Linked DNA regions of Oryzias latipes. The protein of the gene in region 2 interacts with the protein of the main gene of each other region in a biochemical or structural test. Links are inferred from orthologs where the notes say so. Each region holds a gene or a part of one and is shown on either strand. Other genes may lie near its edges.

Region 1 (5,146 bases), on a different chromosome or scaffold from region 2:
CCAGACAGCGCATGACGCCGGGCTGCTGGCTGCGTGTCACTTGAATGGAGATTTGGCCGTTTTGGGTTTTTGGGGGGACGCGAATTGTGCCATTTTGTGACAGCGACGCACTTGCCCGTCCTTGTGTCTCCAGCAGACGTGGTTTATTTAACTGTGATGACATCACGATGAGCCCCGGAGACGGTGGTCTTTAAACACGAAACAAGCCCCAGAACCCAGTTGGACCACAGGTGATTGATTGGTTGGTTGATTGATTGATAGACGGGTAACTAGATTTTAGACCAGTTGCCAATATGGCTCGCGCGCGCATCATGCTGTGAGGTGAGGAGCTGGTAACAAATGCAATGGCAAATTGATTGCTGATCGAACCTGTCTGATCCCTCTCTTCCCTCTTTCACTCCTTCTCCTCCTCTTTATCCTCGCGGCAGCTGCAGCTGCAGCCGGGCAGCAGTGGAGTATTTAACCCCGGCTTAAACAAACTCTGCCAGCGCGTCGATGCCACATCCCGGCTGCTGTCTGTCTGTCTCTGGTGCACTTTTGCTGCGCGCAGACACGGTTCCATTTCTGCTCTCCCCCCTGCGTTTGCTGTCTGTCACCGCGGCTCACCGTCTGGGATATTGAGCGGCGTTTATTCCTGTTGTGGCTGGCTCGTCAAGGTGCGCAACGGCAGACAACTCGTGACCAGATTGATTAAGGTCTCTTTTTCTCAAGTCGGCCTTTCCAGGGAAAGAACCTCCGGCAGCTTCATGTGCTTAACGCTGTGTTTTGTTTCTATGCGTAATGCACAACCTTTTGTGTATCATTTGTCTGGTGGAGAGAGGGCTGTCTAGACGCGCGCGCAGCTCCCTTCTCCAAATCCAAACTTTCAGCCGCGGAGCGCAGCGAGCATTGATCCCCGACGGGCTCGTAAATCGCAGCTATTGGCAAACATGTAATAAAGATCATTCAGGGCTGGAGGCATGATCTCTGATGCCGGTCAGGAACGCAGCTGTGGCCCCTCCGTATTCGCCTTGTGTTCCGAACAATATTTTGCCCGTCATTCTCACAGCTCAAACGAAACATCATGTAGCTGTTTATTTTTCCTTTTTTTTCTCACCAGTCCTTTTATGGTTGCACATATTGACCCCTCAATTCTCAATCAAACCTGTAGATTAGATTTCAAGAGGTCTATGAGGCGTCTTGGCGTGAATTATTATTAATATTATAAATATGAAACTTTCCTGTGGAAGTTTGGGAGAATGTTCTTCATATTAATGAGCAGATCAAGAGGAAAAAGCCAAATGAGCTGCCAAATCTTGTAATTGGTCATAGAACTGGATAAATGAGGCCATCAATGGGCTCAGGCAGAATGTGGGTCAGTGGATGGATTTAACTCTTTCTACTCTGTGCCCTCTTTTTTTATTTCCATAAAATAAATGAAATAAATCTGTGTTTTGTTGGTCATCTTAGGTGCATGCTGGTGACCGGATCTTAATTTAACCAGGCTTTCATTATGGGTCAAACAGGTTTCAGGAATGAGGTGGAGCAACATGTTGCCCTGTTAGCTTGAATTATAAAATGTACCCACAGACACCCATTCATTCAGGATTTTCAACATTTGCAAGCACAGGCGCTCTCTGGGGCCGTGTTGTGGGTTTTTGCCTCATCTTGCTGTCTTTTTCGCCCATTTTTTGGCCACTGCTCTCCTGCTCCTGTCTGTGATGAGAATACTGAGTAAGATGCTATTTGAGGCTGCTGACGGTCTTTGTGAACCCAGACGCAGTGAGAGCCTACAATTCAGCCTTGTTTAACTGGTGTATATCCCCATCAGATAAGCAAATGAAGACATCTCTTTAACATAACATATGCTGGACCTATTGGTATGCAGGATGAGCCTGTTGGACAGCTAACAAATTGTCTCTCTTCAGAAAATCCAATCAGTGCCGTCTGCTAATATAAGAACGCCACTAAGTATTCTTCCCCATTCATGTGTTTGTAATTGAAGCCTGCAGAAGTCTGATATTAAACACTTTTTTAGAAGAAATGTTCCTCTTTAAAGACGCACTCTGATGAAAATTGTGTTTTTCTTGTCATATTTTTCTGATGATGGACATGTATAAAGAAAATTAAGCTCAAAATTGCATTTCTTAGTATTTATTTATCCAAATTGTTGTGAATCTGGAGCAGACAATAAATGCAGTTTGAAAAAGAGCTTACCGGTATTTGTTATATAGAAAATACGCCGAGCCACAAGCTCCCTGTTCCGCTCCACTCTGATGCATCCACTTGCAGATGCATCCACTAGATGTACGTCTAGCTCCGAGCTGGCACCGGGCTCAAAAGTGTACAGCCATGTAGCTCCTATGTTAATCAGTGTATTTGTTGCTCAGGTAATGGTAGGTTGGGGTTTTGAGGGGTAGTAAGCTAGCGGGAGAGCATGTTGTGACACAGATGAGTGACAGGAAGTGGGGGTTGGGTTGCTCCATGCCAAAATTTCTAATGAAGAGGTGAATTTCTAATAAAATACAGCCGCTTTGCAGAAACTGTCCTAGACAACAACATAAATCAAATCAAACCATTTTTTTATATAGCACTTTTTAAATATAACACAACACAAAGTGCTTCACACAATTTTTTTATACATATATAAAAACAAGCAGAATATTGAAATAAAGGACAATATACATTTTTGGAATTGTAAATAAAAAAATGTTTCCACCGTTGACATTTCTCTTTTTTTTTCCATCCAGGTTTGACTTTGTTTACAAAAACAGCTAAAATCTCTGCTGAGCGGGGAAAGCGAGCCTCATGAGTCGGCCTGGCAGGTTACATCAATATCATGGATTTAACTAAAATGGGTATGATCCAGCTCCAGAACCCCAACCATCCCACTGCCCTGCTGCAGAAGGCCAACCAGATGCGTTTGGCTGGGACTCTGTGCGATGTGGTCATCATGGTCGACAGCCAGGAGTTTCACGCTCACCGGACTGTGCTTGCCTGCACCAGCAAAATGTTTGAGATCCTCTTCCACCGCAGCAGCCAGCATTATACCCTGGACTTTCTTTCACCAAAGACTTTTCAGCAGATTTTGGAGTATGCTTACACTGCCACTCTTCAAGCCAAGGTGGAGGACTTGGATGACCTTCTGTATGCAGCCGAGATCCTGGAGATTGAATACTTGGAGGAGCAATGCCTCAAGATCCTGGAAACCATCCAGTCCTCAGATGAGAATGATGTGGATGTCAACGCTAATGATGGGAGCACAGAAGACGATGAGGAGCGCAAAGGCCAAAATGGAGCGAAGAACTCCAAAAAGCATTCCCTGGAGACTCCCAACCTGTCAGGAGCTCAGCAAGCCTCCAACATGCCTGGCATGGTTGACCAGAGTCCCTCTGTCTCCACCTCCTACAGTGTTTCCAACCTGAGTCCCACCAAAGCCGCTGTGGACAGTCTGATGAGCATCGGCCAGTCTCTGCTCCAGCAGGGCTTTGGTGGTGAGCAACCCGTCCACATTAATTCCCACCACCTGATGACCGACATCAAGACTGAGATGATGCAGGTGGACATGAGTGGCAATGGACATGACAGTCCTCAGAATATGGAGTCCAGCGTCTCGAGCAACGGAGAGCGAAGCGGAGAGGACAGGAACCGAGATGGTCCCGGAACGCCAACGAGGAGCAGCGTGATCACCAGCGCTCGAGAACTGCATTATATCCGTGATGACAACATGGGCGACCAGCAAGCCGAAGTCAGCCAGATGGGGCTGGAAGCAATGGCAGGAATGACTGAGAAACACCTGGCCTCACTATATTCGCTTCCTGTCAATCATAAATCCGATGCCATGATGTCCATGCCGGTGTCCATGGCTTCTGGTCTCCCCATGTCCCCTGCCCTGGCGATGTCCATGGACTTCAGTGCGTATGGGGGGCTGCTGCCGCAAAGCTTCATCCAGAGAGAGTTCTTCAGCAAGCTCGGGGAGCTGGCAGTGGGGATGAAACCGGACGGCAGGAACCAGCATGAACGTTGTAATGTTTGCGGCGCAGAGCTACCAGATAATGAAGCCGTGGAGCAGCACAGGTAAGCTTCCTTCCCTCTCCAGTCTGTCTCCTTTGTCTTTGAGTTTATCCCATTTCAAAACTCATATAGGTGCATCTTCTGCATTTTGATTTTAAAATTACACACTTTTACATAATTGACGATTTCAATGGTTTTATAAACATATTGTCACTTTTTAGGCTTAAACTATTTAAAATGGGTGAAGCGGTTTTCTTTTGTTCTACTTGATCGACTTTAACAACAATTGACCCAATCCTTTTATGTTTCTGTTTTATTGCACTTGCATGAGTTCCATTTACAGTCACATAAAGCCCAGTTTTGTGCAGTCGCCAGCTCAGAACCGGAGATTTACTCCTTTAGTAGCTGCCAAGCTTGCCCAGGTGACTGCTGAAGCAATGCTGTCTTAACATTGTCCAAGACCATTAGTCACACCTTCCAAGATGTGGGCGGCAGCTATCACACACACTTACCAATGTGGAGCTCCCTCATCCAGGACCCTGCTCCCCTCCCTTTTCCCATAACTGCACAAGGGGGGCCCTTATTAGCTTGATAATTGGAGTAGACGGTCAGCTCAGGAAATGAGTGCTGAACCCGAGACAAGGAGGTAGTTCTAGGACAGGAGAGTGGCAGCTGCGCAGCACTGTTTCAGTCGCTGCATATAAATAAAGCTTTAAGGCTGAGTAATTTTACAACACATTCAGAAAACCTCCTATTGATCACAGAGCAGCAGTAGTCTCCTACCTTTTTTTACTTTTTCAGACTACGGACCGCTTTATTGTCAGACAATATTTTCACGGACGTATAAGGCCAAAGTGGCCATCCGTTTATTTTATTTGTGTGGGTAAAGTTTATCTTTACCCTCTGTAAAATGTCTGCAGCTGCTTTAAACTTTGTTTGTAAACTAGATTTTATGAAGGAACCATCCACATGTGATTTAGATTTACCTTTAACCCATAACTGTCAAAGTGGAAGCTAAGAATGGAAGCTAACTTCAGCTTTGTCTGACTTTTAAGGTGCAATGAATTTAAAAAACAAAAAGGGAAAGCGGTCACAAAAACTGGTATTATCTAAATACCATAATTATATATTATATATTAATATAATTAATGTG
Region 2 (5,146 bases):
AGTAACTTCCATGTTTTTGATTTAGGGCACCTCGTGCCAAATGACTATCGGGTGAAAAGGGGAACAAACATCAGTGCCGTCCCACACAGTAGTACCTCCCACTTTCTTCTTCTGCCTCATTTTTTAGTGTTTCATTCTGATTTCTGGAAATTACTTTGTTTTTCGAAATGTTTCCCTTTTATTTTGTCTCTTTTTTCTGAATCACTTTTTTTTCTAGACATTTGTTTTGGGGCTGCATGGTGACAGTGGTTTGCATGTTTGCCCCCAGAAAAGAAGGCTCTGGTTCAAATCCCAGGCGGGACCTTTCTGGGTGGGGGTTGCATGTTCTCCCTGTGCAAGAAAATGGATGGATTTGCTCTTTTTTTATTGAAAAGTATATGAAAGATCACAACAGAATAAAAAAAACAATGAACAGAAATGCTATTGTGACATTACAATACTGGGAAATGGACAGGGGGTTCTTTGTTTGAAATAAAATATTTGGGGGGGGAAAAGGTACGGTGGCCCTAAAGTGCAAATCACTCAACATAAAACAATAAAGATCATGACAATGAAAAAAGGAAATTAATGAACAAAATCGTTTTGGAAATGCAAACAAAATTCCGCCCAAAAAACGTTTCTGATTTCCAGAAATCATAATGAAACGTTAAAAAATGAAACCATAAAGAAAAGGGGAGGTACTGTGAGACATCGCCGGTTGGACAAAATTGCATGGAGTGACAGTTGGTGTCATTTGCCCTTCAGGGCCACCGTACAAAGGTGTTTGTTGACAGGGGTAATTATTAGTGAACACCCGGACTTTGAGGCAGAAAGTGCATGTCCCTGGTGTGAGTGGACCCTGGACCGTGCAGCGTGTGGGTCAGAACACTGCAGCACTGCAAACACTGTGGGAACTGCTTTATTGACGAAGGTAACAAGAAGCCCACTAAAAAAAATAAAATAAAGGAAACGGAGAATCAGAACCAACATCACAACATTACAGTGAGAGTAATAAAAAGAGGCTTAGAGAAAATGTCCACGGCGGGAGGGGAGGGGAGGGGGGACGATCCCTTTTCATCTCCGTCAGCAGGAACGACACGACAACCAGCGGCAATGGTACCCCCCCCCCCCAACAAAGATTGCGTCATCGAGCGTGTACACACACACGTGAATGGTAATATTTTTTACGTGTGACTGAGTGAGACCATAGTGGCAACAAACACTGAGGGGGGGGGGGGGGGGGTGGAATGTGATCATTTCAACACAAACAGAAACTTTAGTCAAGAGTTAAACAACAGTAACAGAGACCCCCTCCTTTAAGGAAAGCAAATAAAAAAGTCCAAACAAAGCCCCCCCCCCTCCCCCAGACATCACATGAAAAGCCCAAATGTAGCAGAACGATGTGCGTCTCAGTGTGCCTAGTTCTGCGGCCTCTGGACAACACCCCCCTGCTTACTGCGCTCCCCCACAGCAGAGTTTTTGCTGACAGCACCAGCTCTTCAAATCTTTCAGGTTTCATGGGATTGGTAAAACTAAAGGCACCAAACCACAGCTGCTGCTTCCCCGTCAACCATCGCTCTTTGGTTTCCCATGAGCCTCGCTGGCCTGCTGATCTATGGCATTTACATGTGTGTGCTTGGTTTTTTTTTTATCAGCATTGGTAGACTCCAGGCCACAGATTGGCTGCAGAGAAACACCATAAACGCATCTGTTATCTGAGAGTTTTCCCTTCCAAACAGAAACCAAACCCAGCCTTTTCTCCATCGTCGTGATGAAACGAGATGGCGATGGCGCCCACAGAATGACATGTGCAGCGCTTTGGACCACCTTCCTGCGACAAGCTCCCCCCCTTTGAGGCTGAATTTTCAGGTACTGAAAAATCAACTCATACAGAAGCACGCTGGGATGTCTCATGACCACAACGGCCAGAAACACACAGTAACAAGTACGTAGAGAAACTTAACAAAGCCATAAATTAAAAGACATACACATTTTAAAACTAAAAGGTTAATAAATAGATTTGTTTTCTTCACATTAATTCTTTTTTAGCCTTTACAGGTTTTGTATTTCAACACCAAAATGCTTTTTTCTTCTTTTTTCCTCATTTTTTATGTATTTTAATGAAAAAAAGTGTACGTCTTTTTTTAATTTATGTATTACAACTTGTCCCTCAATTATTTTTCAAAGCGCAGCTGTCTGTAGTGGCCACCAGATGGAGCTATAGGCTGCCTATACCACAACCTAAAGGTTTCCAGGCCTCCTAGCAATAACAAAACAAAACTTGGTTTGAGTTTGGAATGATAAGAACCCTAACCCTAACCCGGTTCTGCTAAAGGTGGACTAGCGTAAATGCATGACGTCAGCAATGTTGATGGAGGTGGGTGGGGGTGCCGACCAGAGGCAGCTTGTCATGGTGCTGTAGTGTTTGTGACTGACGGTCTGGGACTGTGTGATTCAGTTCTGTGGGCGTCCCATGGAGCAACCGGATCGGCTCAGTGGTGTAACGGCAGAACTGTGGCGTGGGGGGAGGCGTGGTCCACGGCTCTCCTTAAGGAACTTCATACATGGGATGACTGTAGAAGGCACTGGAGCAATAAGCCCCCGCCAAAAAAAACCCAAAATATTTCAGTTTATGTAAAGTAGCATCACTTAATAATCTGACCTTAAGTTTGATCTTTTTTAAAGGATTTTCCGTTCTCTTAAGTAAACTGAAGTAAATGTTTCTCTGTGGTTGCGGGGGTCTCAGCCCTCGCCAAAACAATCAGTGTTGAAGAACAATACAGGGCGAAAGCCAGAGTTTGTGGGCTTGAAGTAGAGGCCAAGATGGCTAAAACACTTCCTGTGCACCATTCGAGCAAAACGGAGGGAGTATCATGATTTGGCACATTGATGCTTTTTTTTTTAAGCAAAAACAAAGCCAACGTCTGCAGGTCAGCATTCCCGGTCCACAGGTACTGAGCTGCAGCTGCCGCTCTCTGCCTGATGGGGGCAGCGTGGTTCCCGTCACGCCAGAGGAACCTGCCAACGGACGCAGGCCGGCCTCGCCGAATCTGTTCAAAAGTTCCAGTACGAGTGCACTCACGTATGTACAGGTGTAGAAAATTGATGATGCTTGTGAGATAACAAACACGTCACGAGATAAAAAGTTCTGCCGCTGTCAGCCAGAAGAAAGGTGCGGGTGGCGGCCCAAATCAGCCTGACCCAACCCTGAGGCAGGGAGGGGGTGGAGGTGGGGGGTTGGCAGAAAAGTTCAGTCAGAATCCATCTGTCCGGCTGCAGCGGTGTCTCCACATATCCTACTGCCTTTTGTGGCTTCCTATTGGACAGAAGAAAGGCACCTGCTCCCCCACATGACCTCCTACCGCAGCTTCTGCCAGACTCAAGGCGACCAGGCGTCAGCCTCCTGCTGGACGTTCAGAGCTCACGCGTCCCCCCTCAGTGGGCTGAAATGGAATAGGAACGGTTGGAGGGAGCAAATGAGCATCTGGTGGTGAAGCAAACATGAGTACCATGGGGGCACCCCTCCGTTTCCATGGAGATGCTAGCAAGTCGTCTGCACTTTACTGGGAGGAGGAGTCAAAGCGGAACAAGTCCAAACTCCTCTCAGAACCCAACTTAGCCTCAGCCAATCAGAGTCCCCCACAACAACAACAACTCCACTGTGTGTGCACGTGCACGCACGTGAGGTGGAGGAAGAGGAACAAGAGTGGATAGAGTTGCTCCAAGGAGGAAAAGACGACTGATGTTCTTCTGGTTGGAGCTCCTTCTGCAAGGCAGGCTCCTCCCTAAATGTCAGTCTCCTCCTACAAGATAGGCTCCTCCTCCATGGGCTCCTCTGTGGACCTGTGCACACACACACACACTTGTTTTGAGTTTTTCCAGGACCTTTATCCCGCTTTATGGCTTGTGAAAACAGGGATAAACAGTATGCATTTGTAGGGTACTGTTCTACATTCTGCCACTAAAAGAGTTTTACTTTACTAGTTTACTCCGCTTCTTATGCATGAAGTGAATCTGTCTTACTCCCATGGTGAATCTTTCCTACCCAACATCAAAATGTTCATATACTGAAGGCAGGACATTTAGTTAGCCATCATTTTGCTCAACAGGTAGGAAAATCTCACAAGGTGGGACGGATAGTTCCAGCACTAGCATTGGCCTGTGCTCACCTGCTGCTGTCCGTGCTCTCAGGAACAGAAACAGGCTGCTCCACGTCCACGCTCAGCGACGCCATGGCACTGACCGTTTCCGCCTCGTCCTTCTCCGACTGCGTCCCCTGACCTCCGTCAGGCTGCGAGCGCCCGCTGGTCTGGGACAAAGGCTGAAGACAGGACCAGTGTTTACCTGACAGACAGAGAGACAGGAGGACGGTGAGCCAGAGGGCAGCACCACAACAAGTATCAGGAATGTTAGTGCATGCCATTTACTCTGGATCTCGATGACCCGCTCCAAGGAGGCACAAGCTTTAGGACAGGGATTGTCCAGCGGCCACTGAAAGGTGGAGTCACACTGGAACAGACAGGAAGAGCGTGTCATGGTTTCATCTTTTGTCCCTGATGATCAGAGACGGACTGACGGTTAAAGGAGACCTGCACGCTGCAGGAGTTCTTACCAGGTCTCCCAGCAGTGCAGACACGCAGGCCTCCGACGCGTCACAGATGGCAGTCAGGTCGTGGCCCCCCTCCAGAGCCATGACCACCCGCCCACCCGCCAGACCCATCAGCAGCTGGGTGAGCTGTCCGAAACCTGTGACCACCGGACAAAGTCAGGAAGACGCTCCAAAGCGGACGCCGAGGCGCCGCAGAGGCTCCACACTCACATTTGGCAGAGACGTTGTAGCCCCCCAGAGGAGACTGATGGCCCTCCACTGCATCAAAGCCCGCAGACACCAGAACCACATCAGGACTGAACCGCTGAGCGATGGGCATCACCACACTCCTGCAGAGCCAGAATGAGACAGACTCAAAAACTGCAACCAAGACCAGTCAAATATAGCAGGCAGCTGGTTCCAGAATCAGTGATATCACAAGACAACACCCCCCGCCCCCACCCAGCCCACCTTTAGCTTTAATGCCCCACTCTGATCACCTTTTGATCGATTTACAAAGTGTTTTCATTATAATTATGCTGTTTTTTGGTTTCAGCAGAGCGGCAGGAGTTCATTATG
Region 3 (5,046 bases), on a different chromosome or scaffold from region 2:
TGGAGATGCCTGGTTACCTTGATGACCGTCTGCTCAGCGATGGTGCTGGGGCGCCGCTGGCGGGCGTCGAGCCTTTGTTCCACAGGGAAGCTGCATCGATGGGCCTTCAGCCGCTCGACCAGCAGGTAGTAGATCGCAGCGAAGTGGTTGTAGCTTTTATTCTGAAGAGACTGAAACATAGCAGCGTAAATGAATCATTTTGTAACAAGCATTATTGGTAAAGTTGATCTTTTGCTTCTGTGAAAAGCTGAAATTTGGCAGATTTGTTTTCAACTAAGCTGGCATAAAACTAAGGGTACTGCAGAGGATGGAGAGAGTTTAATCAAAGTCCCAAAACTAAGACGCTTTTTAAGTTCCTCCCTGCTGAGTTTGAAGGAGCAGGGCAGATTTGATGGGTATAACCCAGTTTGTTTTCCTATCAGAGTCAATCTGTGCTACACAACAGCCCAACTGAAACTGATATGAACTGAACTGTGACAAGATAGTCTTCAGTTTTTCCTGCTTTGGTTTTTTTACCTGTAGCCAAGTTCTGAGTAAAGGCAGCAGTGGCAGGAAATACGTTCAGAACAACAACTTTTTTTTTCCTTTAAAAGTTGATTTTCGGTGACAGCGGATTCATACATTTCTCTGGATCTTGTGCATCGTCTCCCCCACAGTGGCCAGACATTTGCTGTGAAGTTTGACCCATTTCTTTTAACTTTCATTTGCATAAAAACTGAATTTTGCTCCAGAACTGATGGTAGTTTGATTTCACACTTCTCTTCTCCTGGGTTGCAGGCAGATTGTACATTGATGTAAACTTTGCATACACTTAAAGCTTCTTTAAATACAATAATGACGCCCTCCAAATGCCCCCTCGACCCAGCCAAGAGTCAGAGGAATGAAAGAATGAGCTGAAGAATAAACAAAACTGTTGATTTTTCTATTGGATAAAGGCCTCCTTTGGCTTTTACTGAACAGGCACCTTTTTCAACCAGATGTCAAATGATTCCATGAACAGCCAGTAAACTATAATTCAATATTCTCAATCCAAAGATCCTTCATCTCCTCAATTTGCTTTGAAATATGAAGCAAAACGGACAGATACTGCCATGAAATCATTCATCAGTCATGCATTGCAATTCTTGTGAGCATGTGAAAACTAAGTGAAATGAGATTAAATGGCAGACTGATGTTTACTTCAACCTCTAATTGCTCTTTGGAAACACGTTGTGCTGTTGTGAAATGGTAACATTCTCGCCAAGTAATTTCCTAAAATATAACTGTTTATTAAACAAAGTCAAAATGCAGACAGTGTGTGAAAAATCTCACTGTAATTTACCAGATTCTAGAATCACAGAAGAAATTACTCAAGGGGATTGTTTTCTGAAAGTTACACCGTCTGAGAAAATACTTCATTTTCTTCAGTTTTTTTAAAAGACTATCTGAAAACAAAAACATTTTCAGAGTAACTCCACATTGTGTCGATTTGTCCTCATTTTTTAAATTGAAGACTTGAAGACAAACTTAAGCTGGAAGACCAAATCTTCAGGACAAATTGCAGCCATCAGGTCTGTGTAACTGTAAACCTAATTTGTGTTGTATTATTAATCTACTAACAACCGTTATCACTGGAAAAGAAATTAAATATAAGAAAGTGGTAGCTGTCAACTATGTCTCTAAGATTTTTGGTTTATCCCAATGGAAGTGCAGACACTTCATTTAATTGAAGTATTCAGCTATAGAGATGAACTATATAGCTTAAGTGAAACTGGTTTTGGAATGTTGGCACACTTAAGATAACACCCATTAACCTAACTGCTTTGTAAATATGATCATGCATCAGTATCAAAAAGTAAGTGACTTGCAATTTACAACCATTGCCCTTTGGAGTCAAGTGCTTTGATGGTTAAGTCGCCAACTAGTTCTTGCAGTTATAGCGGTTTCCTTTTGAAAGCTTACCTCTATAGTCTTTTGTTGGTCGATGCCAAGGCTGTGCATCAGGCGAAGGACCTGTTCGCTGTATTCTCCTACACCCATCTCACCCTCAGCTGACAGTGGCTGTTGGTACAGGACGGGCCTCTGTGCTGGGACGTCCAAAGCCATCCATTTGTGCTCCTTAATCTGTGCCAAGGACAGGCGTTTGGACGGGTCCAGGACCAACATCCTGCGGATCAAGTGTTCACAGTCTGCCAGAATGAGAAAGGAGCAAATACAGAGGGTGCAATTATTTTTAAGAAGTTTCTGGTCAACAAATGCATTAAAAAAAGGAAATGTTCTAAAAGATTAATTGAAGCATAAGTGTTACTTCAACTTTGTTGGTTTCACATCTTCAGCTTTTCCTGACAATTTCCAGCTGCATTTTGACCAGCGAGGACAAACTCTCTTTTCAGAATTCATGTGGCTGTGCAGCTCATCACGATGGAGAAAGGTTTGCCTCAAACCCTTTCCATAAGCTGGTAAACACACACGTTCTGTTGTACAGGTTTGCAATAAAACTAATTGCTCAATTAGCTTAAACATATGTTCTGTTTAACTCGATGCATGTCTGACAAGGCCTGTAAAGAACGTGAAGGCAGCAGCTCATTTGGGTTTTCCCTGCAGCTACTTCCACACAGCATGCATACATTCTTTTCCACTTTCCATCCCTCCCCATGAGAACTCTTCACCTCTAGTTAGGGGCTAGATGAGTTTGACGTCAGACACAGCTGGGTTCTAAACAGGATTACAGTTCCCTTGGCTGTGTTACTCAGGCCTGGATGCCCTCCTGCTGCTTGCACTGCATTCCCTGCCTGCAACATCCTCACCGTTTTCTTAAAAGTGCTATTGTCTTGAAGTAAAAAAGGTATCTATTCAAGAAATAGCCCAAGCCATTAGTTGACATCTCTAATTATTTCAAATGCCAATTCAATTTAAAATAACCTCTTCTTCTAATGGGTAGTCTCATATAATCAAAAAGGTTGCACTTAAGCTTCTTGAAGTCAGTTTAAAAATAGATTGCATTTTCTCTTTTTTTGAGTTACAGGAGTTTAACCTACAGCATAACAAACCCAATTAAATTAGTAAAGTGAAGTTGTTACAAAAGGAGGCAGGCAAGAGGAGTTCACTTCATGCTGCTGGTAACCTACTTGCCTTGTTCTCCTGAGAGCTCCAAGACCTGTCTGCCAACATTAACTCCCTGCTGCTTCTCAGCACCCCCCCGCCCCCCCAACCCAAATCTACTAACATCTGCTTGCATCACGGTTTGATTCCCAACTCATGCTTTGTAGTTCAGCCAGCTCAGTCTTTTCCCCAATTATGTGGTTAACCCGTGTGCCCTTCATCGCATTCTTTCTGCACGCCAAGGCCTGTCTGCAGGAGCATTGTTACCTGTATTTAACTGTATACCAATTGATGAACAGTGTTGAGGCTCTGCTTCAAGCAAAGGATTTTAGAAGACTGAGTTGCCCTCGCCACGACTGATGCACCACTGTGAGACTGAGGACGGGTTCAAATCCATTTAATTTTTTTCAGATAAATTCCATCCTTAAACATGTGAACAGATGTGCCGCCTTCCTTATCTCACATACGGGTGAAGTAGCATGTGAACTTGAGCATATGTAGTAGTACAGTAAATAAAGGTGCGTTAGTATAAGCGGCCCGAGCTTTCCTTTCCTCCTTCACTGCCTGTGAGCAGGTGCCCATTTATAAAACCGGTTTGGCTGGAGAGCCCCATGTGACCGAAACACCACGTTAGCGTGACAACCCAATGACTGTAGAGAATAATGCATGATTTATAGTTGAACTTTTACTGATCATAAAAAAACGTTTGAACCAAGTCATTGGTTCACGCTACGCAAGTGTGACTGACTGACAGACACGCTGCTTTTAGCTGGAACATTACACCAGCATGACAGCACTAACTTTTAGAATCCTGCAGTACTGACTAATCAAGAAGTAATGATATTGTAAATTTTACTGCATAGTTAAACCTATTTTAGGAATTGGAAAATGATAAACGAGGGTTTAAGGAAATTAATGTCATGGCTGAATAAAATAAACTGAATTGATTTGTTTTTAAGCAGCTGGTGTTTATAGAATTAATATGCGTTTTATTTTTCTTTAGCTGTACATATTTGTCAAGAAATAATACAAACATAACTAAACATAAATGTTTCATGGCAGGAAAAATCAGTTTTTACTCTTCCAGACCAACCAACTTTCACAGTACATTTGCTGATGATGCACCAATGAAGGGCTGGTTATTTGCAGCAATAAAATCTAATCTATCTGCTTCATTTTTATTTTACTAATAAAAACAATAAAAAATAAATAAATAAAAACATTTGTGCAATCTTCTCAAGTGAGATGCAATGGGTCAAAGGTTTTTTTTTGTCCAAAGACATACTAGAGAAAAGTACTTTTTATGATTGCATATATGCATCTCAGTGTATATAAATCACACCAAAGCTTAAAAATAAAGTTTTCAAATGCAACCATTAAAACATGACTGAATGCATAGACAACCTGAGTCCCTATGAAGCTTTGAATAAAGAAGAGACATGCAAAGGTATGCAAAAAACTGAAAAGGTCATTGATCAGTGCCTGACCACAGCATTCACTGGACTAAAATGTTCTAGTGAGAGTTTAGAGTGAGGTGCTAGTCTGTTCCCTGCACCACAGAGTTGACCAGAGAGAGCAATGGGAGGAAATGAGGTCTGTTTCTAGTAGAAGAAATGAGAACACTCTGTTCTTCACATTTGGGGGGGGGAACAGGGGCAGGAGTGAGGGTGGAAAGGCGGGTTGGATTGTCAGTCTAGGCCAAGAACTGACATTACACTCTCACATTCCCCGTCTCCTAATTGTTTCAAGGCTCGGAACAAAAGAAGAAGAAATGACATGAATTCCAGCACTCCCCCTTACGGAGACTTCGATCATGAGGAGCAAATAGACAAACAGGAAGACATTTCATAGACAGTGGGAGTCAACGAGACATACAGAGGGTCTCCTGGAAGAGCCTGCAGGAGGGCTTTGCTGCCTTGTCCCCCAGATTACATAAACAGCTCGTGCTCTGGATTTAATCTCCAG

The links.
Region 1: the proteins of hdac5 (region 2) and zbtb16 form a complex in vitro, tested with the Homo sapiens proteins (2 studies listed by BioGRID). The link is inferred for Oryzias latipes from reciprocal best matches to the Homo sapiens genes HDAC5 and ZBTB16.
Region 3: of the proteins of hdac5 (region 2) and sik2, one has a biochemical effect on the other in vitro, tested with the Homo sapiens proteins (2 studies listed by BioGRID). The link is inferred for Oryzias latipes from reciprocal best matches to the Homo sapiens genes HDAC5 and SIK2.

What each region holds. Positions count from the first base shown.
Region 1 is NC_019872.2:25,466,791-25,471,936, reverse strand, and holds the start of zbtb16 (zinc finger and BTB domain-containing protein 16), read left to right. Parts: upstream 1-2,411; 5' UTR 2,412-2,818; coding exon 2,819-4,056; intron 4,057-5,146. UniProt on the Homo sapiens protein: Acts as a transcriptional repressor. Transcriptional repression may be mediated through recruitment of histone deacetylases to target promoters. May play a role in myeloid maturation and in the development and/or maintenance of other differentiated tissues.
Region 2 is NC_019866.2:23,905,887-23,911,032, reverse strand, and holds the end of hdac5 (histone deacetylase 5), read right to left. Parts: intron 4,918-5,146; coding exon 4,799-4,917; intron 4,726-4,798; coding exon 4,592-4,725; intron 4,489-4,591; coding exon 4,407-4,488; intron 4,324-4,406; coding exon 4,149-4,323; intron 3,823-4,148; coding exon 3,783-3,822; 3' UTR 881-3,782; downstream 1-880. UniProt on the Homo sapiens protein: Responsible for the deacetylation of lysine residues on the N-terminal part of the core histones (H2A, H2B, H3 and H4).
Region 3 is NC_019871.2:15,490,687-15,495,732, forward strand, and holds part of sik2 (serine/threonine-protein kinase SIK2), read right to left. Parts: intron 2,169-5,046; coding exon 1,942-2,168; intron 171-1,941; coding exon 18-170; intron 1-17. UniProt on the Homo sapiens protein: Serine/threonine-protein kinase that plays a role in many biological processes such as fatty acid oxidation, autophagy, immune response or glucose metabolism.